Callithrix jacchus: one gene and its partners. The protein of the gene in region 3 purifies or fractionates together with the protein of the main gene of each other region. This does not show direct contact. Links are inferred from orthologs where the notes say so. Each region holds a gene or a part of one and is shown on either strand. Other genes may lie near its edges.

Region 1 (4,224 bases), on a different chromosome or scaffold from region 3:
AATCTCTGGGCACACAAAGAGATAAGGTGCCGAGCGAAAATTAAAGAACCGAAGAAAAAGGGGAGTGAAATTCCAAGAAAGGAAACTCAGGTCAGGAATTCGGGGGAAGCTAGGGGAAAGAAAGACAAGTCAGCGAATGGGTGGCGCGGAGGAGGGGACGCCGGAGGAGCCGCAGTCTCCAGGAAAGCGCTGAGCCCCGGCCCGCGCCGGTCCCCAGCCTCTGTTCTCACCAGTACGAGGGCTGCGGCCACAAGCGCCGCACCGAGCACCGCCAGCTGCAGCAGGAGCGGAGCCATCCTCCATGCCGGGGCCGCCGGCCCTATCCGGCAGCTACACACACGCGGAAGCGCGACCCGGCCCCGCAGCCAGAGAGGCCTCGCCCGCCGGCCGCAGCACCCCCGCGTGGCGAGGCGGAGAACCTGCCGCTCTCGAGCGCTCGGCGCCCAGGCGGTGGAGAGACGCGCTAGGTTCCTTAGCACCGCGCCAGGTTAAGCAAGTGTGCAAGATGCCTACTTAATTTGAATTTCAGATTAAAAAAGAAAACTAATCTTTTTTTTTTTTTAACAGCCTTATCAAGATATTTACATACTACACAACTCGTCCAGTTAAAGGCTTCTGGTCTATTACATTAGTTTTTATAAATTGTGGTAAAATAAAACAAAAGTTACCATTTTAATCATTTTAACTTTACAATAGTGAGTGGCATTAAATACATTCACAATGCGGTGCAACCATCACCATCTGTCTGTAAAGCCTTTCCAGCTCCCTCCAGGTTCTGGTAACAACTAATTGCATGCTCTATTTGGGGCATCCTTATGCTAAAAAAAAAAAAAAAAAAAAATGCTGTTTATCAGACATTCAAATTTAACTTGGTATCCTGTATTTTATCTGGTAACCTCACGGCGGAGAGAGATGGCAGCCTTAAGCACGACACAGTCTACAACACAAGCTGACGGTTAGGAGCCAGCTCCAGGACCTGCAGAGCAGAACGTGGTGCGGATAATGAGAGCAAAAAAAGTTCAGATTTCTCAACGTGCTGGAGCAGGGAGCCTTGACCAGGGAAGAAGCACGGTCAGGGCACAGCGTAAGTCACAGGCGGAAAAAAGACGCAGAAACATTGGAATAACGCGCTATACGCAATGCTTGATTCTTCGCTGGAAACCTATTTTCTCCGAAATATTGGCCTTATTCTGAGTGACAGCACCAGCTTTTTTATAGGACACCTTCTCCTTCTCTAACAGCAGATTCGTCAAATTCGTCCAAGCAAGGAAACCTAGAAGGGCGTCTGGCCAGGACAAAGTCTAAGCCAAGGCGGGCCTTTCGTCGCGTCCCCGCCTTGGCGTTTCCTGTGGCGTGAGCAGCCCGGGCATCCATGTCGAAAGTGCGGTGGCGGAACAGGCGAGCAGGCGAAGAGCGGCGCAGGCGCAGACGCGCGGGCGGGAAGATGGCGGCTGGGTTCAAGTGAGTGTTGGCGGCTGGAGGGCCGAGTTCTATACCCTGGCCGACGACGGCTTCCTTTAACTCTTAGCTGAGATTCTCTCACCTGGAGGCCGACCCTTTTGGAGTGCCATTTCCTTCCTTGTCGAAGCAGGCGACGGGCGGGAGGACCTGGAGGTGGTCGTAGTGAAAAGAAAGGGCTTCTTTCCCCTGGCGAAACGGGAGATGAAAGGACTGTAGAGTTCCGTACCCGCTGCGAGCGCTCATGAGCGTGGTGTGTAGTGAACGTGCAGTCCCAGGAGACATAGATGTAATCTTTTAAAGATTGTGGCCTGGCGCGGTGGCTCACGTCTGTAATCCCAGCACTTTGGAAGGCCGAGGCGGGAGGATCGGAGTTCGAAACTAGCCTGCTCTACATGGTGAATCCCTGTCCCTAATAAAAATATAAAAATTAGCCGGGCGTGGTGGCTGGAGCCTGTAATCCCATCTACTTGGGAGGCTAAGGCAGGAGAATCGCTTGAACCCGAGAGGCGAAGGTGGCAGTGAGCTGGGATCACGCCCCTGCACTCCAGCCTGGGCGACAAGAGTGAGACTCTTGTTTCAAAAAATAAATAAATACGAATACATAAAGATTGGTGCGTCAGAGCCACATACCGCCTGGTTCTCCCTCTCTCGTAATTTATTTCTAAAAGAATCATGCCTCGTTCGGAACGTTTTTGTGTGTGTAGCCTATGGACTTTCTTAAAGTTTTAAAAAAAATGGATAAAATAGGATTCCAAAGGAAACCCATTATGTTGAAATAATTATCTATGAATAGGGCCGGGCGCGGTGGCTCACGCCTGTAATCCCAGCACTTTGGGAGGCCGAGGCGGGTGGATCACGAGGTCAAGAGATCGAGACCATCCTGGTCAACAAGGTGAAACACCGTCTCTACTAAAAATACAAAAATGAGCTGGGCATGGTGGCGCGCGCCTGTAGTCCCAGCTACTCGGGAGGCTGAGGCAGAATTGCTTGAACCCAAGAGGCGGAGGTTGTGGTGAGCCAAGATCGAGCCATTGCACTCCAGCCTGGGTAACAAGAGCGAAACTCTGTCTCAAAAAAAAAAAAAAAAAAATTATGAATATAAACTCCGAAGTCATGATATAGTAGTATATATACTTGCTTTGCTTTAAAATTTACCTTCTTAAACAGGATCTAGTGACGAGTCTAGTAGTACCTCGTGGGATTTCAAAGTAACAGCCTAAACATACAGTACACAAATGAATACATCTGTGGTCTTTGTTAAAGTTGCAGGTACTGCTAATGTTACAATCGTGTATTGCCTCCAGCCATAATTGAAGAATGTGCTAAGTGTCCGTTACAGTGAAAATAAAGATGTACCTTTTTTGTTTCCTGAGTTACCTAGTACGATCTAACTCATGTTCCCGTTTATGAAAATAATCTCTTCATGATCACTAGATCACTCTGAATCCTTGTTTCAGAGCAAGAATGACATGATTTTTCTGACACCTAGATTAATCCGCTTTTAAAGAGCTCACTCAAAGGGCTTTTAGACGCCAATCTTCTTAATCGATTACAGCAGTTAAAATAGCAATTGGATGCGATTGCTACTGCAAGGGTTTTTACTTTCTAGAATTAGATTAAAATTGTGGCAGTTTCTGCTGTATCACCATATTCTAAAGAGCTTTGCCCATTTCTGGATTTATGTTAAGATTCATCATTTATCTCAGCTATATTTTTAACATGTGTTTCAGAACTGTGGAACCTCTGGAGTATTACAGGAGATTTCTAGTGAGTAAAGTTTATGTACATGTTATGCCTTATGTTAACAATGGGCTTCTTTTAAAGATAAATTTCAAGTAATTTAAATAAATCCATTTGAAGTAACATTTAATGTGTTTCCCCTGGTGTGTGTAAAACTTGTGATAGATATGTAAAGTATGTAATAGGTAGAATCTTTTTATATAAACATTATATTTATTTAGAAAGAGAACTGCCGTCCTGATGGAAGAGAACTTGGTGAATTCAGAACTACAACTGTCAACATAGGTAAGGATGTATTTTCCACTTTCAACTGTATGATATTCCCAAGTTTTAGTCTCTGAACCACCTCAACAGTTTTTCAGCCAAATTCTCCCTGTCTAAAGGATTTGATGATTTTTTTTTTGTCAAGAAATTTTTTATCCGTACAAAAGCCCTGTAACTGAATGAAAAATTATTAACACAAATTCAAGGACAAGTGAATAATTATTTAAACACTAATTTTAAATAGTTTATATCATTTAAAATCAATTATTCCAACTTGAAATACATTTTCATAAGCAACTGACAGGTGTAGCAAGGTAATCATACACAGCAAACTAACACACTTAATGATTATGTAGATAATTTTGTAGCTGTTTTCCTTTTATTTACTTTTCATTTTGCTTATCTTTTCAGGTTCAATTAGTACCGCAGACGGTTCTGCTTTAGTGAAGTTGGGAAATACTACAGTAATCTGTGGAGTTAAAGCGGTGGGTATAAATAGGTCCTACTGAGATTTGAATTACTAAATTAGCCTCCTCTATTTATTAGATTATAATTTACACCTATAATTCGGTTGATTTGGCAGTTGGGTGTCAGTATTTAATTTCCCAAGAGTTTTCACTATGAGTGTTAGATAATTATGACCCAAGCTTAATGACAAAATACCAAAAATAGCCAGGCGCAGTGGCAGGCGGCTGTAATCCCAGCTACTTGGGAATGACTAATTGAACATTTGTCAAATGTACCAAAATGAAATAACTT
Region 2 (3,942 bases), on a different chromosome or scaffold from region 3:
GTGCTGTGGGCCCCTCCTTTCCTAGCCCATGCCTCCTGCCCCTCCACTAACGTCCTGCTTCTACTTTCCCTACAGGTGGAGGACCACGCATAGGACCAGGACAGCCAAGAGGAAGCAGGATCTCCTCCAGGCTCATCAGCTCCGGGCGTTCTGGGGTAGGTCCTTGCCTTGCCTAGGTTGTGAAGGCCTCCTGGTAGCACCCATGCAACCTGAGATACCCGTTCTGGAGCTGGGTCAATAGAAGAGAACACAGGGCTTGGCCAGAAAAGCGGAAGGTTCACTGTTGCAGCAGGTTTAGCTTCTTAGGAGGTTACATTTCACGATGACAGCCATGGGACTGACAGCGTTAGGAGGGAGGTAGCCTGGGACTGTACCAGGTCGCCATCCTCATGAAGCTGAGGCTGTCTTCCAAGGGACAGCTGACAGCCCACCCCCACCCCACCCCAGCACTCAGGGGCAATCCTCAGTCCTGAGTGCAGACACGGCCACAGCTGCTCTTCACTCCCCTCTGGATGCACCAACAGCCAACAGATTTCCCTGGGATCCCAGTCTCCCTCCCTGCCCGAAACAGCCGGAAGGTCCTCGGCGTACACCCCACACCACCCTCTTGGGGCTCCAGACTCGTCATCCACTCTCCAAAGCCATCCTTCAGAATAACATGAGCTGTCTCCACTGGTGTGATACCATTTCAGACCTGCTCTGGAAAGGTAAGTCAAAAGGGAAAAAATAAAATTCATAAATCTTTTTCCTGGTCAAGGCTTCTTGGTGTGGCTCCAGAAACTCATTCTGGTCCTTGGGCTGCCCGGCACCGGCCCTTCCCCGAGAAGCCGAGTGCAGAGACCGGACCAGGCTGCCCTGCCTTCTCAATGGCAGTCACCTGGCTGCGTCCAGAGCAGCCTTGAGACCAGACCAGCAGATCTGGGAGCCACACAGGAAAGACCCCACCCTCGTGGTGAGTCAGGCCGGTTCTGCCCTATGGAGCAGCCAAGCCGTACCTGGCTTTCCTGGCAGTTCACCTGCCCTCTCTGGGCGTTGCTCAGGGTTTTCCTCCTAGGACCAAGGCACCACGTGAAGACGGCCCAGGACACCACTTCCCACCGGCTGTGGAGGCCTCTGGTTGTGCCGTTCTCCACATGGCCAAGGACAGATCTGGCTTCCACCCAGAGCAAAACCCATTCCAGCTACCCAGCCGAGTTGGGTCTTGCCCAGTACCAAACCAGGGTGGGGGGCTGGGGTGCACTCAGCGCGCCGCTGGGGCCATACAACTCTTCCTACTTTTGTCATATCTCAGCAGCTGTCCTGTCTCTGGTTCGTGTGGGGGCAGCTTCTCCTTCTATAAAGCACAGGGCCCACATCCAGTCCTGCAGCTGTTCTTTGCAGCCTATCTGTCCCGTTCAAGTTGGTCTAAGGAACGGGACCGGTTAAAGGCACCGCGGTCACGGCCCCTTGCCACCTGGGATGTAAGAACAAAGAAGCCGTGCTCTCTAAAATCCTGGACCAAGAAGAATCACAACAGAAGACGCTTTTCAGATATAGAAGTGTTTTTCTTTTGGCTCAGACACGGTGAGAAGGCACAGCCTCTTGTCCAACCTCTCAAAAGTCGCCCAGTTACGTCAGAGGGAGTCTCTGGCTGGCGGTGCAAAGGATCTATCCCTTAAATGACTACAGTTCCCAGATACCAGCTTCCAGGTAAGTTCCAAGTTTCCAGCCTGGAAGTCAGGCTGCGCTCACAGGTGTTCTCAACTGGGTCGCAGCTGAGAGCCGGCTAAAGGAGGAAAGTTCCTTTAATGAGGTTTGTAAAAAGCCCTTCCACCACCACAGCTGTCTGGCGCCTCGGCTCTGTTTCAGCCTCTCCAGGTGCTCTCCGGGGCTCCTGCTGCATATCTCGATGCAGGCTCGAGGCCCACGGCACGGGTCTCGGCGTGGCGTCCGTCGTTGTTCAGGGCGGGGCGGCGCCCCTGCGACGGGCAGCCCGCACCAGGCACTGCTGCAACACTGGATAGAGGCGCTGGCAGCCCTCGAGGCCAAGGCGTACGGCCTCCGCCCAGCTCTCGGTCAGGCCACCCTCCCCGCTACCCAGCAGCCCAGCCACCTGATTCAGGACGGGCATGAGTGCCACAGTGAGACCGGCGGCGGCGCGCTCCTCCTCGAGCCGCGTGGGGTCCAGTAGCCAGGTGGACGCGGGCCCCGGAGCGAGGCTCAGGCCGCAGCCCACCACCAGGTCGTACATCTCCACGCCCGCATCGGCCAGGGCGAGCGCAGCGGCGGTGAGCGCGGCGGCCAGGGCTGAGCCCCCGTCCTCCAGCAGCAGCGCAGACACCTCGAGCTGTGCACGCGGGTATCGGCCCAGGCGCACCGCTGGCTCCAGCGCCTCCTGCAGCGCCAGCGCCAGCTCACGCTCCTCACCGCCGCCCTGGGGAGCGCGGCGCCGGCGCCCCGCGAAGGGGGCGCGGCGGAAATCGCAGAGCAGTCGACCACGCAGCGCGGCCGGGGCCTCGCCACCCGCTCCGGCCGGGCCGCCCCCGCGCTCGCCGCCCTCGGCCTGGCGCGGGCCCGACACCGCGCACAACACCTTGGTGCCTCCTGCCTCCAGGTAGGCTGAGCCCTTGGCTTGGCTCAGCAACCCCGCGCGAGCGTACACGGGTCGCAGCCGCGTCGGGTCGCGAGCGGCGGGCGCATCCTCTTCGTCGGCCGCGTACAGCTGCGGCGGCTGTGATTCCTCCGGGCCGCGTATACGGCGGTGGTCCCCAGGCATCACGGCGCCTGGCGTGCGACCTGCTTCCGGCCGCTGCTCCACCACGCACACCAGCTCTTCCGCTGCTTAAAGATGCGCGCCTGCGCGAAGGATGTCGGGGAGCAGCCGGCTTCGCTATAGCGCCCTCTGAAGGCCTGGAGGGAGAACGGCCGGCGTCCTCAAAGCCTTGGTGCCGCTAGTGCAGGGCATGTGGCGTTCATACATACAACGGGGGCGGGGGGCGGCAGTTAGAAGAAAGAGGCTTCTCTGCTTCCACCCCTCATTTTCTGTTGAATTATGAACACCTCCCTCTATGTCACCTATTTGGCTTCCATCGCCACAAACGGTTGAGGCAACCACAGGGGCTACTCCCAAAATTCAGAGTTCTGGGGCTAGACAGTGAATACAGCAGCAGCCAGCAGGAGTCACAGCATTTATTCTAGACAGCAGGGGCCACAGGCTGTGGAAACGGCGCGCCCCCATTGGGAATGGGTAGAGATCCTGCGGCGTCAATTATTGCACATGGTCCTTTATTCTCTGCAGCGAAAATGATTCCCATTTGCTAACCCAGACAGCTCAGGTCTGGAGAGCTGTCCGCTCCAGATGCCTATCGATGCACAACAGCAATGCTGGGGTACTCAGGGCAGACATATAAGGAATACTGGGTCACAGGACCTCTTCCAGTTACCGTGGGGTTAGGAAGATGGTGGGAGCTCTTTAAAGGTCCCAAGATTCTAATGTTCTTAGAGCAGAGGAGGAACTCCTGGCTGGACCTATGGATCCAGTGCCAAACTCCTCCTTCCCCACCTCAGTTCTTCACATCCCCGAGGTGCAGCTGGGCAAAGGAAGTGGCCAGCTGCAGCGCCTCCTGCAGGCAGCCAACGTTCTTGCCTGTGGCCTGCGCAGACACATCCTTGCCACCACCCTTACCATCCATCAGGCCTGATACCTGCTGCACCCACTCGCTGGCTTTTAGGCCCCTATTGGCTGCATTCTGGAAGAAAAGAAGGGAAGGGGGAGTTAGGACACAAGATAAATGAGGAATGGAGGAAAAGAAATGCAGGAGCCATCCCCCACTCCTGCCCAGGGTGGTGATGCTGGCAGCCGAGACACGCTTAACAGCTGGTAAAGGGGGAAGTCATAGCCACAGCCAGGAAAGGACAGAGTGGCAAAGCCAAGTATCAACCAGACATCTTCACCAATGAGAA
Region 3 (3,500 bases):
TGGCAAAGCTGTGGGAAAATAAGCACTCTCATACATTAGCGGCAGGAATATAATTGATGTAACCTTTAAGGAGGGCAATTTGATAATATTGATTCAAACACAAATGCACAAACTCTTGACACAGAAATCCCATAATCACACATGGGAATTTCTCTTTCACATATACTGTACTTTAAAAAGTGTGAAATGGGCTGGGCGTGGTGGCTTACATCTGTAATCCCAGCACTTTGGGAGGCCAAGGCAGGAGGATCACTGGAGCCCAGGAGTTCAAGACCAGCCTAGGCAACATGTGAAACTCTGTCTCAAAAAATAACAATAAAAACGAAAATGAAAATGAAAATGTGAAATGACTTATATTCAAAGTTAACTATGTATAGCTTTGTTTATAATACCAAAGGATTGAAAACTATCCAAATTTCCACAGATAGTGCAACTGTTATTAATATGGAATGATCTCCAAGATACCATTCAGCTTTGCTTTTTCTTTTTTTTTTTGAGAGAGTCTTGTTCTGTCATCAAGGCTGGAGTGCAGTGGCGAGATCTTGGCTCACTGCAACCTCTGTCTTCCAGGTAGCTGGGACTACAGGCATGTGCCACCACGCCCGGCTAATTTTGTATTTTTAGTAGAGACGGGGTTTCACCATGCTGGCCAGGCTGGTCTTGAACTCCTGACCTCAAGTGATCCACCCACCTTGGACTCCCAAAGTGCTGGGATTACAGAAGTGAGCCACCGCGCCTGGCCTACATTGTTGTTGTTGTTTTTAAAAGAAGGTGCTAAATCTTATATGATGCCACCGTTCGTGTAAAAAAAGATCATATATATATATTTGTGTGTGTATTATGTCTAGGAAAACTAATACAGAACTGGTAAATGAGGGAAAGTGATAGGAAACTTTCAATAAATACCTCTTGGGACCTATGAGTTTGGCCCTATATGATTCTATTACCTATTCAAAGAGAAACATAAACTTTAATCTCAACGAATGAAGAAACAAAAAACTCCCAAGTAAATGATCCTTATGCCAGACAACTTCAACCAGGGAATGCATAAGCACAAAGCTACACACATTTGTTCTCAGATTTTAACTGACTTTAAAAAGCCAGCAACAGAGGGAGATGCAGTCCCACCACTAGCAGACGGAAGAGAGGAAAGGAAGGTCAGGGAAGGCTGGAGAAATAAAGCTGCCTAAAAGTAAGTGGTGTGGGGATGGGGTTGGGGGTGGTGTTGAGAGGTCAGATGGGAGACACAGGGCCAGGATGGGGCGTAGCACAGAAGAAAAAATAGGGCAGGAGTAGGCAGCATTAGGCGCCACAGAAGAGCCAGGACAAGCTTTGAAGACAAAAGCCATAAACTCACCTATCAACGCCTCCCAGGAGGGAACACAAATCAGCACTGAGGATGGAAGGCAGCATGTCGTAACGACGATCCGCTAAGTAATAAGTGGTGGCCCTGTGAATGATACACATGCGGCAACGTGACCTTCAGTGGGGAGAAGCAGAACTGCTGACTGTGTGGACCACAGGGAGGTAAATGGCCAAAATGTCACTACAGATTCCCCAAGGCTGCTGCTGTTTCATAAAGTGCAGCAGACTGGGTAATAAAACGATTCCCATGGTCCCACTTTTCTAAGTGAGTCTGCTTTGGGCTGAATATTCTTCCACTGATATGAGAAAGAAAGGGCAAGTGACATGAATCTTCATTGTATAAGAAAAATTGGAGAGTAATGATCCAGTGTTTATATAAAACAGCATATCACTACATGAAAATGTAACCCATTTCAATTTAGTAGGAAACGTGGGAAAAGGTTATGTTAAAAAGGAGAGGTAAGTCGACCAAGGTACTGTTTCTCTAAAGGAAACCAGGGAGTGGACCTCAACTTTTTTTTTTCTGGAAGAAACCTTCAGAATTGCACAAATAGGAGATCTTTGTTTTGAACACCTGAAACTATTACAGACACAAAATATAGTCACATACACACAACCATAGTGTGATTTAAAATCATAATACCTTGTTCTAGCTTCAATATCAATATAAGAATTTGGTGCCACAAAGTGTGTCACATCTGCAATGTGGACCCCAAGTTCCAGGTTGCCATTGTGTAAAGTTCTGACTGAGAGTGTGTCATCCACATCTTCACAACCTTTGGGGTCAATGCTGAACACAAGATGGCTTCTCCTCAAGTCTTTACGTTCTCGTTCCTCTTCAGGACTCACCTTCCAGGGATTTTCTGGTGTGTTCACTGGCATCTCACACATCTGTATGAGAGGCCAAATATTCAGCAATTCATGCACCACAGATTTCTATAAAAATCCATTCTCTGATATTCTCAATGTGACCACATACAAATTCATTGATTCTCAATTACCTTCTGCGTCAACCTATGTTGGCTCCCTTTGAGCAATAATTGTTGATTAGTTGCCTCAGACGTCTTGGGTACTGTGCTGGGTTCTGGAAAGTCAGGAGTCAACAAGAAAAAGTTCCCCACCCCTGATGACCCATAGAGTTGGACAGAAGATGCCCCACAACGACTCCCAGCCTGTTTAGTTACAGGGGCTTGGAATGAGAGTACAACATGCAGCCCATTTTCAAACGATCTGTTTGTCTAAATGTAGTTGAGCTGTAAATTTAAGCCTTGAAAAAATAATAATCATGTCCCAAATATTAAAGGTTTACCCCTTAAAGATAATTTTATACAGGACCTATCTAGGGCATTTTTCTCTCCACTATTATCTATTTAAGCCATCAATTTGCAGTTAAGTAGGCTAAAAGGGAAGAGGAAATTCCAGTCCTATGATATCTAGCCCACACTTTATTTTATTGTAACGTTTTCACTAAGAGCTGCCAAACAAGTCAACAAATAATTTCCAGAAACTTATGTTAAATATAAAAATTTAATGAGGTAAAATATTCTAAAATAATTTACTGTTCTGTGAAAAAGTATAATGAAAATAAGAACACCTAGACATTCCTTATGGCAATGCAAATGGGTCCAATTTTTCTAGAGAACAATCTGCTACTATATATCAAAAGCTATTTAAAGCTTTTATACCCTTTGACTTGGTAATCTCACTTTAAGGATTACATTCCAAGAGAATGACAAAAAGAAATTAAAAAACAGTGTCTATAAAAATGTTTGAAGTAACTTTTTTGTTTTTTTTGAGACAGAGTCTCACTCTGTCGTCCAGGCTGGAGTGCGATGGCGTGATCTCGGCTCACTGCAACCTCCACCTCCTGGGTTCAGGTGATTCTCCTGCCTCAGCCTCCCGAATAGCTGGGACTATAAGCACACACACTAATTTTTTTTTTTTTTTTTTTTTTGAGATGGAGTTTCGCTCTTGTTACACAGGCTGGAGTGCAATGGTGTGATCTCGGCTCACCGCAACCTCCGCCTCCTGGGTTCAGGCAATTCTCCTGCCTCAGCCTCCTGAGTAGCTGGGACTACAGGCGCGCGCCACCATGCCCAGCTAATTTTTTGTATTTTTAGTAGAGACAGGGTTTC
Region 4 (4,165 bases), on a different chromosome or scaffold from region 3:
GGAAGTCAAGCTGAGGACTGAAAGACTCAATATTATCAACATTGTTACCAACCTGTAAGATGGGGTGTTTTCAGGGTAAGCAATAGGCAGATAGGAAAAGACAGAAGCCACCTTGGAGTGGTTGATGATTGCATGTCAGATGTGGCAATGGAGAAAGTGCATATAAACAATTCTTTGGTGCAGCTTGGCTGTGAAAGGGAACAGGGTCACAAGAGGTAGCTGGAGGGAGAATTGGAGGGTTTTTTTTTTGAGACATAGTCTTGCTTTGTTGCCAGACTGGAGTGCATTGGTGCGATCTCAGCTCACTGTAACCTCCGACTCCCTAGGTCAAGTGATTCTCCTGCCTCAGCCTCCCAAGTAGCTGGGATTACAGGGACGGGTCACCATGCCCTTTCTGGGATTTTTAGTAGAGGCGGGGGTTCCACCATGTTGGCTAAGATGGTCTCGATATCCTGACCTGGTGATCTGCCCGCCTCAGTCTCTCAAAGTCTCGGGATAACATGCATGAGCCACTGCGCCCTGCCAGAACTGGAATTTTTAACATTCCATTTTAAGATGGGAGACACTTTAAAGCTGACAGAAAGGCTCCTGTAGGAAGGAAGAAGTTGAAGACACAGGCAAGAATGGGATGCCTAAGGATAGAGTTGCTAGATTTAGCAAACACAGGACGCCCAGTTAAATTTGAATTTCAGAAAAACAACGACCAGTTTTTTTTAGTGTTTGCCCCAAATATTGCTGGGTGTCTTGTATTTTATCTGTCAATTCCAGAATAGTTCATCTCTAGGTAAAGAGTTATAGCCCCGGATGTCCTAGGAAGGAGTTGCAGCTCTAGAGTCTTTCCTAGCTGTCCCAGTGCAACACTCTGCAGAACTATCAACAAGTAGAGAAACTGCTTTGAATGTCAGCTTTTGCGGCTTTTCCATTCGCTCTAGGATGGCAACTGGACAGGAAAATGCTGGACTAAAAGTGTGGAAAAGTTCTAATTTGAAAAACCGGCCCGTAAGGGATGCAGAGGCTTTTGAACTGCAAACGGGCTCTGGATTGGGAGTACAGAACAGTGAGTCACAGGGTGGCTGGTCTGGGCCCAACTCTGGACACCAGGTCCTCTCAACTCAAGGGCAGGTACCTAGCAGCAGTCGAGGGGTCAGCGGGCGCCTGCGCACTGCCACGGCCCCGCCCTCTTCCAGGCTTTCATCCGGGTCTCTGGCAGGGGCGTGTCTGGGCAGAGGGGCCGGTGGCTACGGAAAGGAAGGATGTCGTGGGAGACTGGAGAGTGGGGAGGGAAGCGGGAAGGGGCGGGGGCGGGGCAAGAGGCGTGGCCGAGCGAACGCGCGGTCACGTGATGCGCGTGGCGACGTGTCGGCCATCTTGTGTTGTTGAGGCTGAGGACTGACTTGGGTTCTGAGACTCCCTGTCCCGGACCGCAGGTAACCAGCCATTCCGTGTAGCTCCCCTGCCCGGCTCTGCCCCGCGCCCCGGCCCCGCCGCGGCGTCCTGGGCCGCCCGTGCCTCTGACCCGGGCTTGCGTCCCCGTCGATCCTACCCGAGCCGGCTCGGCCGCATGGACACCCACAGGCCGCTCCGGCCGGCTTGGGCCGTCAGGCGAAGGGACAGGTCAGGTGCGGGGCCGGAGGGAGCCTCCTCCTGGGCGAGGGGCGCTGAGGGCCCTGGCGCGTCACGGCCGCGGGGAGCCGAGGAGCCCCTCGGCCAGGGCCTCTTGGCATTGCTAGGGCAGCAGAACAAGGCAGGAGGGTGGTGGGGCAGTCAGGCCGGCTTGTTCGGAGCCCGAGGGCTTGCCTTCCTCTGCCTACTTCTGCGGGCCAGTCACCCGCTCAGCCTCGGGGTGCCCCGGTAACAGCTGCTGCGATCAGACAGCTGCTCCTGCCGGCTCCGTTGTCCACACCTGGCCCCTGGGAGGTGCGCTTCTGCCTTCCCCGCGGAGCATCTGGACGGAGGCAACTCCTTCGTTGGCGAGAGTACTGGGTCTGGACCAGGCCTGAGGCGAGGTGGAGCCACCATGATCGGAACCTTGGGACTGTGGCTAGGAAAGTAGAGCCCAGGGCAGCTTTGGGGACCCAGATGTTCACAACAGGTTGAAATAGGCATTAGCCTTAAGTGTCAGCAGTTTCCAAAACCACTCTAAATACTTGTTTTGCGACTGAAACATAAATCCAGCGAACAGGGAATGGGGTCATGAAAGAAGCGGAGTGTATGACCGTGTTTGAGAAGCAATAACGTTGCTTTGCAGTTAGTTACCTAGTGCTGTGTTTTTTATTTTGTTTTCGTTTTCCTGCAAGTCAGAGCACTTAAACACATGTAGTCTCTCTGTAAGAAAGGTAAGTATTCCAGTTTAACTTTCAAGAAATTCAGTAGGGGGCCAGAACCTGTGAACAACTTCCTATCTAGTGCCTTGAATTAAGGCAGTTTTGAGTCCCAGTGTTGTGTTTGGGGAAGATATTCTTTCCTTATATAGTATTTCCTTTTTAGAATCAAATGACCTCCTAGATTAGAAAAAATTTTTTTCCTTCTTTCTGTACATTAAGTTTGATCCTTCTAATATTTGTAGATTTGACCTTAACAGACTTTGTCCGTTTTGCCTAGAACACAAATGCTTGCTGTCATTCATGGATGGTTTTACGCGTTTTACTAGTTGGTATAGCAGTGTTTGGCGTGCTCAAACTGGAATGTGTACTTCTCTTTTATATCAGATGTTGACATCAGAAGAGGACACTAGACAAGTATTTAAAAGTGGCACGTAACTGGAAAAACGTCACATGATCTTTCTTTTGAAATTTAACATCAAGGAATACACTGGTGATGGTAGTGATTCACTAGAAAGGAGAAGGCTTCATTCCTTTTTGATACCTGACAAAGCATTTGGGAGTCTTGGGGAGGAAGAAGGGACCATGTGCTTTCGTTCATTCATTTATTCATTCATGCATTCATTTATTTGACAGATACCCTATTGAGCATTGACTACACCGTTATGTGCTGGGAGCAAAACAGACCAAGTAATTCCTGTCTGTATGGAATTCATTTCTAGACAGATAAATAGGTAAAATACATGGTGTAGTGTTAAGTGAGGTGAAAGAAAAAATGAGTCAGGGAGATAGGGCAATACGATTTGGGGAGGGGTTCATTTTAAGTGCCCTGAGAAGGCCTCATGGAACAGTTAACATTGTAGCAAAACCCCGCAGAGGTGAAGATGCTGTTTCTTTAGCTCTACAGGGGGAAGAGTCCTCCAGCAAGCTGCTAGGGAGCAGTAAGAGCAAAGACGCGGACCCAAAAACTTGGCTGGGAGCGACTCAGGAGTAGACTGGGAAAAGCATGGAGGGTGGCCTAGGCTAAGAGGCAAGGGCGAGACAGAGACTAGTAAGGAGATGTGTGTACTTGCCTCTGTAGTACTAAGATGAGATGGATTATTTGCTATCCTGAATTATTTTTCCTTATTTCTTATGATTCTTAGAAAGGGAAATCAGATTCTGGAGATTTGGGCCAGCGGCCTCGCCAACCCCCATCCCCTATGTAATTCCCTTCTCCACTGGTATTTGGAAAAATTTAAGATGCTCAAATATTTCAGGAAATTATAATGAATTACCTTTCTCAAAAATAAACATTTTAAAATGAGATTGATGATAAATTGCTTGAGAGTACTTTTCAAAAGCAGTTGCCTTCTAAGAAGGGGGATATTTGGAAATTTCAGGATATTTGAAAATGTAGGGAAATGAGAAATTTTCCTTTGACATTTAGACACATAGTTAAGGAACATAACCAGGTAGAAAGGTGGAATCAGTGTAGTAACTCAAATTATCCTTAATCTGGTTAGTAAAGAATTTCTGTTAATACTGTGCTGTCCAGCGCAGGGACTCTTCCTGTAAGTCATGTGCGTATCCTTTAGAACATTGAACATGTGTAGAACTTTTTGGTTTTTTATTCCTCTACTTTTACCTTTCAGACTAGTTATCTTAATCGGATGCTTAATAGACATATTTTTCTTGTAAAAAACATTTTCTGATTTCCTTCCAATTTATCTCTATATTCTTTTTACTGAGCTTTCACAAATGTCCTCTTTCATTTTAGTTCAGCTGAGGAATTTTAGTATTTTGATTTTGAAATGCTTTTGCTGCTGAGAGGCATATGTGAAAAACATTTTGGAGTAAGTTTG
Region 5 (3,500 bases), on a different chromosome or scaffold from region 3:
AGATGCAGTTTCGCTCTTGTTACCCAGACTGGAGTGCAATGGCACGATCTTGGCTCACCGCAACCTCCGCCTCCTGGGTTCAGGCAATTCTCCTGCCTCAGCCTCCTGAGTGGCTGGGATTACAGGCACGCACCACCATGCCCAGCTAATTTTTTGTATTTTTAGTAGAGACAGGGTTTCACCATGTTGACCAGGATGGTCTCGAACTCTTGACCTCGTGATCCACCTGCCTCGGCCTCCCAAAGTGCTGGGATTACAGGCGTGAGCCACTGTGCCCGGCTGGTTTTATTTTTTTCATAGATTTAGTACCGTCTGGCAAATACCAGCTCAGCTGCGTGCTCCTCTGGGATCTCACTAGCAGGGCCTGCAGACATTGGGTACTCCACAGATGTGTTAAAATGAATTAATTTATTGACTCATCCATTCCATAAATGTGAACTCCTTGTTGGGCAGGGATCTGTGTCCCCAAGCCTGGGGACTGTCAGGGGCCAAGGCCTCCCTGCAGGAGCCCCTATGGTAACATGGCTGCAGGCTCACTGTCCTATGAGCCCATAGGACAGAGAGGCAAGGCTGGGCCGCTGGTTTGCTTCAGGCTGTAGCGGGTGGGTGGGTGGGTGGAGGCAGAGGGAGTGGCCCCCTGCCCCAGCTTGTCTCAGCTCTTGGAGTAACGCCTCTGCAGCGATTCCCGGTAGAAGCGGAAGACGTGTTGCGAAGCCGCCTGGGCCGCGGCCAGGCACTGCTGGAGCTTCGGGGGAGAGACTGGTTGGTGCTGGGGGCTGAGACCTGTGCGCGCGCACGCGCGCGCGCGCGCGCGCACACACACACACACACACACACACACACCATGACGGGGCTGATGCAAGAGGTTTTGCTGACCCCCACCTGCCTCCCTTCGCCCCCCAAACCCACCACCTCCCCCTTCACCTCCCATCACTCCCCCGCCCCCAAGTGAGACAGGTGGTGAGGCATTATCTCCCACTTCACGAGCCGTTTCTTAGAGATCAGGAGAAATAAAGAGAGGGTGAGGGCTTCAGGGGTAAGATTCTGACAGCAACAGGACTCAGACCAATCAGGCATCCTCTCCTACCTTGGAAGAGGCCCCAGCTTTGCAGAGCTAGGGAACTGGAGAAAGTGCAGAATTGGAGTGGTCTTGGGAGTTTACAGTCATGGGCCCCTTGACCCCGAATAACCTAAGAGCCATGGAATCAAGAGACTCCCAGTCTTTCCTGCCATGTATTCCTAGATTCATAAGGTCCAGGTTGGACGTGCTTTTGCAGTTTCCAAGCTTCTGTCCCTTAGCCTGAGACCTGGAATTTTGGTGGCTTACCACTCTGAGCTAGGAGCTGGGGGACCATCATGTGCCCTCATCTTCTGACTTTATTTTTTTATTCTTATTTTTTTGAGGATTGAGTCTCACTCTGTTGCTCAGGCTGGAGTGCAGTGGCACGATCTTGGCTCACTGCAACCTCTGCCTCCTGGGTTCAAGTGATTCTCCTGCCTTAGCCTCCCGTAGCTGGGATTATAGCTGCGTGCCACCATACCCAGCTAATTTTTTGTATTTTTAGTAGAGACAGGGTTTCACTGTTAGCCAGGATGGTTTGGATCACCTGACCTCGTGATCCACCCACCTTGGCCTCCCAAAGTGCTGGGATTACAGGCGTGATCCACTGCGCCCAGCCTTATTTATGTATGTATTTATTTATTAATTAATTATTTTTGAGATGGAGTCTTGCTCTGTTGCCAGGCTGGATGGAGTGCAGTGGTGCAATCTCAGCTCATTGCAACCTCCACCTTCTGGGTTCAAGTGATTCTCCTGCCTCAGCCTCCTGAGTAACTGGGACTACAGGCATGTGCCATCACACCCGGCTAAAGTTTCTTTTTTTTTAATTTTAGTAGAGACAGGGTTTCACCACGTTGGCCAGGATGGTCTCAATCTCCTGACCTCGTGAGCCACCCGCCTCAGCCTCCTAAAGTGCTTGGATCACAGGTGTGTACCAGTGGGCTCATGCCTGGCCATCTTCTGACTTTAAACTGAGCTCAGCCTCTTTTTGCCTGTCCCATAAATTGGGCTTCCCTTAAACATTTCCACAAAGGTTTCTGGGACCACAAAGTTTGAAAACTCTGTTTTTTACAAGCAGAAATGCAAGCGGCTCTCCTGAACCCTCTCAGAATCCGGGGTAGAGTTGGGACAAGACTGCATGTCGGTGGGAGGGAAGGCTCTGGCTTTTGCCCTCATCCCCATGCTGGTACCTCAGCGTCCGAGAAGAGCCCCTTGGTGCTGGACATGAGCAGCTTCCGTTCCACGTTGTCCAGGGCGAAGGTCAGGACTGCCCGGGCCTCCTAGGGACGAGGGGAAGAAGGTAGTGGGAGACCTAGGACCCTCCCTTCAGATAAAATCTCAGCCAGTCCCTTGGCCAGGCACAGTGGCTCATGACCATAATCTTGGCACTTTGGGAGGCCGAGGCAGGCAGATCACAAGGTCAAGAGAGACAGTCACCCTTCTATGGGGTTAGAAGGGTAGAGCATCCCATCTCTACTAAAAATACAAAAATGATCTGGGCGTGGTGGTGTGTGCCTGTAGTTCCAGCTACTCAGGAGGCTGAGGCAGGAGAATCGCCTGCACCAGGGAGGTGGAGGTTGCAGTGAGCCAAGATCACGCCACTGCACTCCAGCCTGGGTAACAGAGCGAGACTCCATCTCAACTGCCAAAAAATGCAACAGCTCCCCCCATCTCAAGCCCTCCACATGGTTTCTGCCTTCTGGATTGGAGGAAACCATGAGAGCACTGGGCAGACAACACAGAATAACCTGAGCTCAGACACTGAGCCTGAGCTGATGTTTGCTTTTGAGCCTCTTAAGATGGAAACTGGGAGCTTACGGGGTCAGTCCCAGCCTCAGGAAAGATGCTAGCCACGGAGAATGAAGCTGAGAAAGGCAGGGACGAGAAGTGAAGCGAGGACATCCTGATGGTCCTGGTTTTATTTCATTATTTTTTTGAGATGGAGTTTCACACTTGCCTACGCTGGAGTAAAGTGGCACAATCTCAGCTCATTGCAACCTCTGCCCTCTGGGTTCAAGCAATTCTCCTGCCTCAGCCTCCTGAGTAGCTGGGATTACAGACACATGCCATCACGCCTGGCTAATTTTTATATTTTTAGTAGAGAGAGAGTTTCACCATGTTGGCCAGGCTGACCTCAAGCCTTACTGCCTCAGCCTCCCCACCAGCTGGGACTACAACAGGTGTGCACCATCATGCCTGGCTAATTTTTTTTTTTTTTTTTGAGACGGAGTTTCGCTCGTTACCCAGGCTGGAGTGCAATGGCGAGATCTCGGCTCACCGCAACCTCCGCCCCCTGGGTTCAGGCAATTCTCCTGCCTCAGGCTCCCAGGTAGCTGGGATTACAGGCACGCGCCACCAGGCCCAGCTAATTTTTTGTATTTTTAGTAGAGACGGGGTTTCACCGTGTTGACCAGGATGGTCGTGATCCACCTGCCTCGGC
Region 6 (3,500 bases), on a different chromosome or scaffold from region 3:
ACTCTACAGAAGGCAGACAGGAAAAAAGCATTTTAAACCAACTCGACTGATGTTCTATAATGTCAGAAGGGCAGAAAAACTGTTTCTTCATAATTCTTTATACTCCAGACCAAAAATAATCTCTGCTAAGTAGCTAGAGTCTGTTAAGGTGGAAATGATAAGTAGCTAGACTCAAACCACACAAATACAGATGTGGAAGATCCCAAGAGAAAAACAGTGTACCAAAAAATGAAGGTATGAAGAAAATATCTTTAAAAATAACTGAAATTCAAAATCTAAGCCTTGGCGATATAATCCATCCTATCAAAATCAATGGTATAAAGGGGATATTTTGTAAAAATGGCACCAAATATATTACTGGAGTAGAATTAGTACTAAAATATAGTTTTACCCCAACTCATCCTTCCAACATGATAAACTTATGATCCTTTTTATTATCCCCCTCAGGGGAGATATCTCTAAATGACTACAGTTCATAAACATTTTTGACAGTGGAGCTTTAATTAATTAATTCAACAAACACCCGATTTACTAAAAACTACAACATATACTAGGGACTGATGTTGAAAAGAAAATGACATAGAAATGAAAAAGCTAACTACCACTCCCAAAAGATTACAATCTAGTGAGGAACTCAGATATGTAAAGGAGAAACAAGACTATCCAGCTTAACTTATTCTTTCCTTGAAAGAATATAAAATCCTTAGAACAATAACTTGTGTATTCTATGTATTTCCTCTCTCTCCCTCGATGGAAAAATCCCATAACAGAATTAAATGGCATTCAAGATTAAGGAAAAAAAGGTCAATTATTCTGATAACCCAATCCTAATTCAGAAGGAAAAAAGACATACATGAAGATTTTTGAGACTGAATCAGAATTCTAAATTATTTTAACAGGTGATAAAAATTAAATTAAATTTTTCATTCATCCAATCATTCAATTAATGTATACTGAATGTGTACTATGTCTTAGAGAAGGAGTCCTTTCCTTCACTGACTTTGAAATCTATAAAATCCAAAAATTGAACTAGGTGATGATTAACATTCTTCCCAACCAAAACTCATGATACCGCACTAATTTAGATAAAAGAATATTGTAAGGGAAAAAAATAAGGCTCCTGAGTTTGTGTTTCTTAAAAAATATAATTTTGGAAAAGGGAGAAAAGAAAGAAAAAAAAGGATATAAAAATCTATTGTTTATAGTAAAAACCTATTGTTTATATTTGATAACAATGTTTCTTTATCAATTTGGCAGACAAAATACATATAATTTATAAGTAACAGCTTTATTGAACAACTGAAAATTCTGAAAAATTTTAGAACTTGAAAATTAATGGCTTCAAAGCAACTCACTTCCCTTGTCTTTAAGAACTCCTGGAAGGATTCTAGAGACTGTGATGAGAACAAACACGAGCTACCAAGGTGTGGTGACTTCCATTTTCACAAGATATTTGAAATTCCAGGTGTGTTTCATATCATCTGTTTGCCACAATGATCCAATTCATTCAATATGAAAATTCAAAAGAGTTTAAAAATATTTCAGTCATTAGAAAATTTAACTAATGATTCCATGATTTGCTGACTCATTCTGAAGTCTGGTTACCTGTGCCACCTAGCGGTATAAGAATTCCCTATCTGACGGTGCCAGGTTTCACCAAATCAGATTTTTTTTTATGTTAAAGTAGCTATAAAATATTTATGTGAGAAAATTGATGGTGAGGTAGGATAAGTAATACACATACGTAAGGCCAGAATCAAGCCTAATTTCTCCTTTTGTCTCTTTGTACTATGTTATACGGAGGATATATGATACTTCAATGCTAATGACACATTATGCAAAATTGAAAGTCTCTTTCTTACAGACTAATAGGAGACAATCCGTGAGGTTGGGGGTGGACATGGGGGCGGGGGTGACGGAGGTACTCAAGTCTTACCCAGGCACTTCAAATCCCATAGTTTGCTTCTTTCCAGATACAGTCATTTTGGCAACTTTCGGCACAATTTCAGATTCACTTCGCGATGACTGGGAATCTACTGGTTTTCCTAATTAAGGAGTAAAATATAAAAGGCCAATTAATTAATTTCTTTAGTAATATACAGAAATCTATTACATACTATTTTAAATTATAGATTATAATTTTCACAGAATTCATGTCTTTATAAACATACTATCTTTTCTCTAAAAAAACTTTGTGAGATATTAAAGCTGAAAGAAATTCTGTCTCTTTAATCTAGGAAATCCCCTATTGTCAGGACTCTCCAATGCTTAACCTCCACCAAATCTCTTCCTAATTTTGAACTGACTGTTAAGTTTCAGTATGAAGAGGTCACAAGGTAGTTTCTACACTGAGCCTTGTTCTGACATTATACCTAGACCCTATATCTCCCTTTCCTACCACGCCCTTTCACAATACTAAAATTGTTTGGTCAGTTAGCAGATGGCTAAACTATTTTTAATCCTGTGAGATTTATGAACTGATGAACAAGTTGAGAGTCTGCTAAATTACGCTGGAATATTGTACATATTTTACTTGCACACAACACTAGACTTACTAAAATACGGATATCTACAAAGAACCTGGGGAACGAGGTTAACGTAGAAAAAATAAATTAAGAACATGGGGGAATTAGTCAGGCATGGTGGCAAGTGCTTTTAGTCCCAGCTACTTGAGAGGCTAAGGTGGAAGGTGGTTTGAGCCCAGGAGTTTAAGGTTGTAGTGAGCTACAATCACACCACTGCACTCCAGCCTGGGTGACAAAGCAAGACGCCATCTCTTAAAAAAGGAGGAGAATAAATTATGAGCTAGATCAAATTTTTTTTTTGCATTTGATCCCTACATAATTCATTCAACTTTTAAAAATTTATCTTTATAATCTTCAGAAAGAATGCCGTCAGGATTGGATCCACATAAAACTATGGAAACTACGTGAGCTACATTGGTAAATACATATACAGAAACCACAAACAATTAAGAAAAGATAAGTTAATGTATAAAAATCATTTAAAATATTTGCTATTTACCTACTATGTACCAGGCACTATGCTGGAAATGTGATGGTGAAAAACAGACATAACACTTGCTCTAAGAGAAATTACATTCTAGTGGGGAAAACATACTAAATGATTTTTTTTAAGTACAATTAAATCTATTATTAGTGTTATAAAGAATCCATATATGGTGCCATAAGATTTGATGATAGGGCAAATGACTTACAGAGGAGCTTCTCTAGGAAAGTGAGAAATGGAGATATGATGGGGAAAATGAATCAAAATTATAATAACTAGCACAGAAAGGAGGAGCATTCCAAGCAGAAAGAGAAGCTTGTATAATGGCCCTTTTGTAGGAAGAAGCACAGTTCTTGAGAGGGAATGACAGCAGAAGGGGAGCTACATGAAGCTGGAGAGATGGGCAGGGCCAGCCAGTGCAGAACCTTTAGGCCATACCAAAGATCCTAATGCTTATTCTAACAAAGACGGAAGTTACCAAAATGAGATAA
Region 7 (3,500 bases), on a different chromosome or scaffold from region 3:
TAAGCTTGGCAGATCACTTGAGGTCAGAAGCTCCAGACAAGCCTGGGCAACATGATAAAACCCCATCTCTACTAATAATATGAAAATTAGCTGGGCATGGTGACACACACCTGTAATCCCAGCTACTTGGGAGGCTGAGGCATGAAATCACTTGAACCTAGGAAGCAGAGGTTGCAGTAGGCCGAGATCACGCCAATGCACTCCAGCCTGAGCGACAGAGCAAGACTCCATCTCAAAAACAACAACAACAAAACAATTAATTAGAGCTACACAGAGAAGTTACTATTGAGTGCCAAAACATGGGTAGAGGAGTATTTGGGAGGCAAAGTACAAGGGAGGAAAGGAAGGGCTGGACTAAAAAGATCCCTAAGGGAGTGGGCTCTGTGTGGGAGGAAGCAGGGCCTCTGTGGCCTCACCCAGCAAACCAGGGGCAAGCAGGTTTAAAAAGCTGTTTAAAAAGCAATGGCACAGTGAGGTCAAAGAAGGTATTCACATCATACAGACCTGACTTTGATATCCAACAGCACTACCAGAAAGCTGAGACCTCTTGGGCTAGTTACTTAACCTCTCTGTGTCTTAGTTTCCTAACTTATAAATGGGGAATATAATACTGTCCTTTTGCAACAGGTTAAGAAGGTTTAAATGAAAATGCACGTAAAGAGCTGATCATCCTTCCACACACAATGTACCGACCTGTCTAAATTCTGCCCCCCAACTCTGTCTGGCACCATTCAGAGACCATCTCGTTTCATTCTTCCCTGACAACTTTTATGGGCAATTTTAGGTGCTACCATGATATTACTATAATTTTACTATAGAATGGCATTATATATATGCTGCTTATATCTATGTTGTATTTAATTTTTTAAAAAAATATTATAGGAGACCACATTTTCCCAACTAATCTCACCCTATAAGTTGAAATCACTCACCTGAAGAGGAAAAAAGCACTAGAAGGAAAGTAGGCCAACTAGTCTCCAACATAGGTAGAATATGGCCAGACAGCAAGGTGATACTCACCAGCACATCCACATAGAGAACCCAGCAGTGCTCCCGAGCACTAATGCAGAGGGTCTTCAGGTCAACACTGCTCTTATTGTTAAATATCCGATAGAGGGTGTTAGCGATCTCTGTGCCAAGGTCATCACCTCCTCGACCTTCAAACTCAGGGGTAGCATTGGCTGAACTATACAAAACAGAAACAAAAAAACTGGGTGAGTCTAAGCGCAAAAAGCAAAGAGGCAAGGCTTTATTCCAGTTTCCCTGTAGAATGCTGGAAAAGCCAGCTGCTTGACAGAAAGTCACTGAGATGAGGCAAGAATGGCATCTGCCACCTTTCCTGCCTCCAGAAACATGTAATGAACCAGACCAGCACTAGGACCTGGATTTGTCAGCGTGTGTGATGGGATTTCCCAAGAGTTTCTAACAGAAGCCATCTTTAGCCAAAGAGAAACAGGAGAGTGATGGTAATGTGAACCTCAGCCAATAATAATTAACTGTCTTATCTTCAAGCATATAATAAATACGCTTGTCTGCCAGGCCCAGGAAGCGGAGAGCCCTAGGGAATGAAGCAGTCTGGGTTACAGAGAGCTTTCATCATACACACCACCTTTAGTTTCACAGCTTTAGAATGAGCTATGATACTTTTCAACATAAAAACCACAATGTAAGCACAATAACCTTTTCGGAATGACTTAAAAGACATATATAATCCTCTCTGGATTGACTTAAAAGACATATACGTCAAAGCTTTGTTATAAACTTTAGAGATCACTGTACTGAAGAAAAAGAAAAATTATTGGCTCAAAAGTAGTAGGTTACCTCCTTTATTTGGTATTTTTCAAGAAAAAAACTTTTTTCTCCTTTTTGGCTTCTTGATATTTAATGCCCAATAACCTTAACAAAACTAACAGGATTCAGCATTAGCCAACCTAAAAACACCAAAGTATTTAGTAGGACATTTCTGAGAGTTTTGGCTTAATACAAACAAATCCTTAATATGTATGCGAGATAAGTAAACATTATAGTAATCATTTTATTATAACAATAAAGGACCAGAAAGGTAAGAAGCTAGTGGTTTCAGCATGGACTCTATGAAATCACGTATTAAAGCCTTCTGACCCTCACCCATATGGAAAGTTCCCAGCCCTAAACCAGCTACCAGACACCCAGAGGCTGAGTGAAGCAGATGCAGACCCAAAGCCAGCAGTTCCAATGAGGTAGGAGAGTTTCACCATAGACAGCAAACAGTGAGGTGGAAGCGGAGAGGGGCACAGAGTGTCAATTAGTGTTCAGGGTTACAGGAGACCTCAAACCTGGGATGAGCAGAGCTGGTCAGGCCAGAAAGGCGGGAGGATTCTAGGCAATGCAAAACCTGTGTGAAGGCCCATGGCAGTGCCCATCCCATTTGTATAACACTAAAAGAAATCTCACTTGGTAATACAGGTAAAAGACTGAATTCTAAAATAATCAGACTATGCTGTTACATACAATTTTGCCTCTCTAATTATATATTCTTTCCTTACCACTGTGAGCCAGAATCCCCTTTAAAGTACCCAAGAGAGACTTCATTACTGCTATAGCAACCTCGCTGTTCCCTGCCTCTGCTGGACTCAGGCATCAAGCCAAGAAAAGCAGCTTGTTTATGGTGAAATAATCAAGTCACCAGGGACCAAGTTTTTACTCTGCACAGCCAGCAAAACACAACCTGTTTTTAATTTAAACACTAAGCAATCAATATTAAGTCCTGTGTTTTAAGTGCTTAAAAATACATCTACAGAGATTTCTGTGTACACAAATCCAGTCAGAGATACTTATGCTCAAAACGTTTATCTTTCCCTGAATGCAGTGGACACATCCTGCTGGGTGTGACTAATTTTTCTGGGACTAATGCATTCACTCTTCTACAGCCTTGGGGGATGGTTTATAGAGCTTCCCAGGTCCAACTGTCTACATTAGTCTATCTATAAAATCATACCCCATTAATTTTTTTTTTTGACATTGGGCTAATGTGGAAATTTTTACCTATTTTTAAATGCCTTCACACACACACACACATACACACACACACACACACACACACACACACACACACACACACACACACACCATCTTCCAGAAGAGCCAGGAGTCAGACAAAGAGGAAGGTTTAGAGACTCATGAGCCCATTGAGCTCTCCTGTGCCTGGATGATGCCATAGTTGTGCAGTGACTCTGGGGAGGAGGCTGGGAAAATGGAGGGGAATTATTCAGGGTTGGGGATGGGGTACAACGCTTTAAGTAACATAAGAAAGCCATATTCTGCCGATGGGCGAAGACAAAGAGAAATGAGGATTCCACTTCACTACTGGGGCACTCACAGCCCAAGGACTCTTTCTGACAAATTTAGACAGAAATGTAGACCTGGAAAGGGCCTCAGAGACCATCCTCAGAGGATGAAAACCCAAATGCCTACCGGGGTCAGTAAGGTTACTACATGTATCTGAACAAAGGGCCACATAT

Evidence for each region.
Region 1: the proteins of DIS3L (region 3) and EXOSC8 purify together in Homo sapiens (affinity purification with mass spectrometry; 4 studies listed by BioGRID and IntAct, counting the BioPlex papers as one, with this or other methods). This does not show direct contact. The link is inferred for Callithrix jacchus from reciprocal best matches to the Homo sapiens genes DIS3L and EXOSC8.
Region 2: the proteins of DIS3L (region 3) and EXOSC6 purify together in Homo sapiens (affinity purification with mass spectrometry; 3 studies listed by BioGRID and IntAct, with this or other methods). This does not show direct contact. The link is inferred for Callithrix jacchus from reciprocal best matches to the Homo sapiens genes DIS3L and EXOSC6.
Region 4: the proteins of DIS3L (region 3) and GIGYF2 purify together in Homo sapiens (affinity purification with mass spectrometry; 3 studies listed by BioGRID and IntAct, with this or other methods). This does not show direct contact. The link is inferred for Callithrix jacchus from reciprocal best matches to the Homo sapiens genes DIS3L and GIGYF2.
Region 5: the proteins of DIS3L (region 3) and EXOSC5 purify together in Homo sapiens (affinity purification with mass spectrometry; 5 studies listed by BioGRID and IntAct, with this or other methods). This does not show direct contact. The link is inferred for Callithrix jacchus from reciprocal best matches to the Homo sapiens genes DIS3L and EXOSC5.
Region 6: the proteins of DIS3L (region 3) and HBS1L purify together in Homo sapiens (affinity purification with mass spectrometry; 5 studies listed by BioGRID and IntAct, with this or other methods). This does not show direct contact. The link is inferred for Callithrix jacchus from reciprocal best matches to the Homo sapiens genes DIS3L and HBS1L.
Region 7: the proteins of DIS3L (region 3) and EXOSC7 purify together in Homo sapiens (affinity purification with mass spectrometry; 3 studies listed by BioGRID and IntAct, counting the BioPlex papers as one, with this or other methods). This does not show direct contact. The link is inferred for Callithrix jacchus from reciprocal best matches to the Homo sapiens genes DIS3L and EXOSC7.

The regions. Positions count from the first base shown.
Region 1 is NC_133506.1:156,216,188-156,220,411, forward strand, and holds the start of EXOSC8 (exosome complex component RRP43), read left to right. Parts: upstream 1-1,424; 5' UTR 1,425-1,444; coding exon 1,445-1,461; intron 1,462-3,191; coding exon 3,192-3,228; intron 3,229-3,422; coding exon 3,423-3,486; intron 3,487-3,876; coding exon 3,877-3,950; intron 3,951-4,224. Other genes in the region: ALG5 (dolichyl-phosphate beta-glucosyltransferase), read right to left, coding at 231-296. UniProt on the Homo sapiens protein: Non-catalytic component of the RNA exosome complex which has 3'->5' exoribonuclease activity and participates in a multitude of cellular RNA processing and degradation events.
Region 2 is NC_133521.1:31,651,766-31,655,707, reverse strand, and holds EXOSC6 (exosome complex component MTR3), read right to left. Parts: upstream 2,801-3,942; 5' UTR 2,756-2,800; coding exon 1,940-2,755; 3' UTR 277-1,939; downstream 1-276. Other genes in the region: AARS1 (alanine--tRNA ligase, cytoplasmic), read right to left, coding at 3,543-3,728. UniProt on the Homo sapiens protein: Non-catalytic component of the RNA exosome complex which has 3'->5' exoribonuclease activity and participates in a multitude of cellular RNA processing and degradation events.
Region 3 is NC_133509.1:13,371,282-13,374,781, reverse strand, and holds part of DIS3L (DIS3-like exonuclease 1), read right to left. Parts: intron 2,257-3,500; coding exon 2,009-2,256; intron 1,451-2,008; coding exon 1,358-1,450; intron 1-1,357. UniProt on the Homo sapiens protein: Catalytic component of the RNA exosome complex which has 3'->5' exoribonuclease activity and participates in a multitude of cellular RNA processing and degradation events.
Region 4 is NC_133507.1:154,063,576-154,067,740, forward strand, and holds the start of GIGYF2 (GRB10-interacting GYF protein 2), read left to right. Parts: upstream 1-1,365; 5' UTR 1,366-1,427; intron 1,428-4,165. UniProt on the Homo sapiens protein: Key component of the 4EHP-GYF2 complex, a multiprotein complex that acts as a repressor of translation initiation. In the 4EHP-GYF2 complex, acts as a factor that bridges EIF4E2 to ZFP36/TTP, linking translation repression with mRNA decay.
Region 5 is NC_133523.1:36,660,716-36,664,215, forward strand, and holds the end of EXOSC5 (exosome complex component RRP46), read right to left. Parts: intron 2,341-3,500; coding exon 2,251-2,340; intron 1,191-2,250; coding exon 1,088-1,190; intron 784-1,087; coding exon of another isoform or gene 746-783; coding exon 534-745; 3' UTR 390-533; downstream 1-389. UniProt on the Homo sapiens protein: Non-catalytic component of the RNA exosome complex which has 3'->5' exoribonuclease activity and participates in a multitude of cellular RNA processing and degradation events.
Region 6 is NC_133505.1:141,717,387-141,720,886, forward strand, and holds part of HBS1L (HBS1-like protein), read right to left. Parts: intron 2,046-3,500; coding exon 1,937-2,045; intron 4-1,936; coding exon 1-3. UniProt on the Homo sapiens protein: GTPase component of the Pelota-HBS1L complex, a complex that recognizes stalled ribosomes and triggers the No-Go Decay (NGD) pathway.
Region 7 is NC_133516.1:27,738,231-27,741,730, reverse strand, and holds part of EXOSC7 (exosome complex component RRP42), read right to left. Parts: intron 1,187-3,500; coding exon 1,021-1,186; intron 1-1,020. UniProt on the Homo sapiens protein: Non-catalytic component of the RNA exosome complex which has 3'->5' exoribonuclease activity and participates in a multitude of cellular RNA processing and degradation events.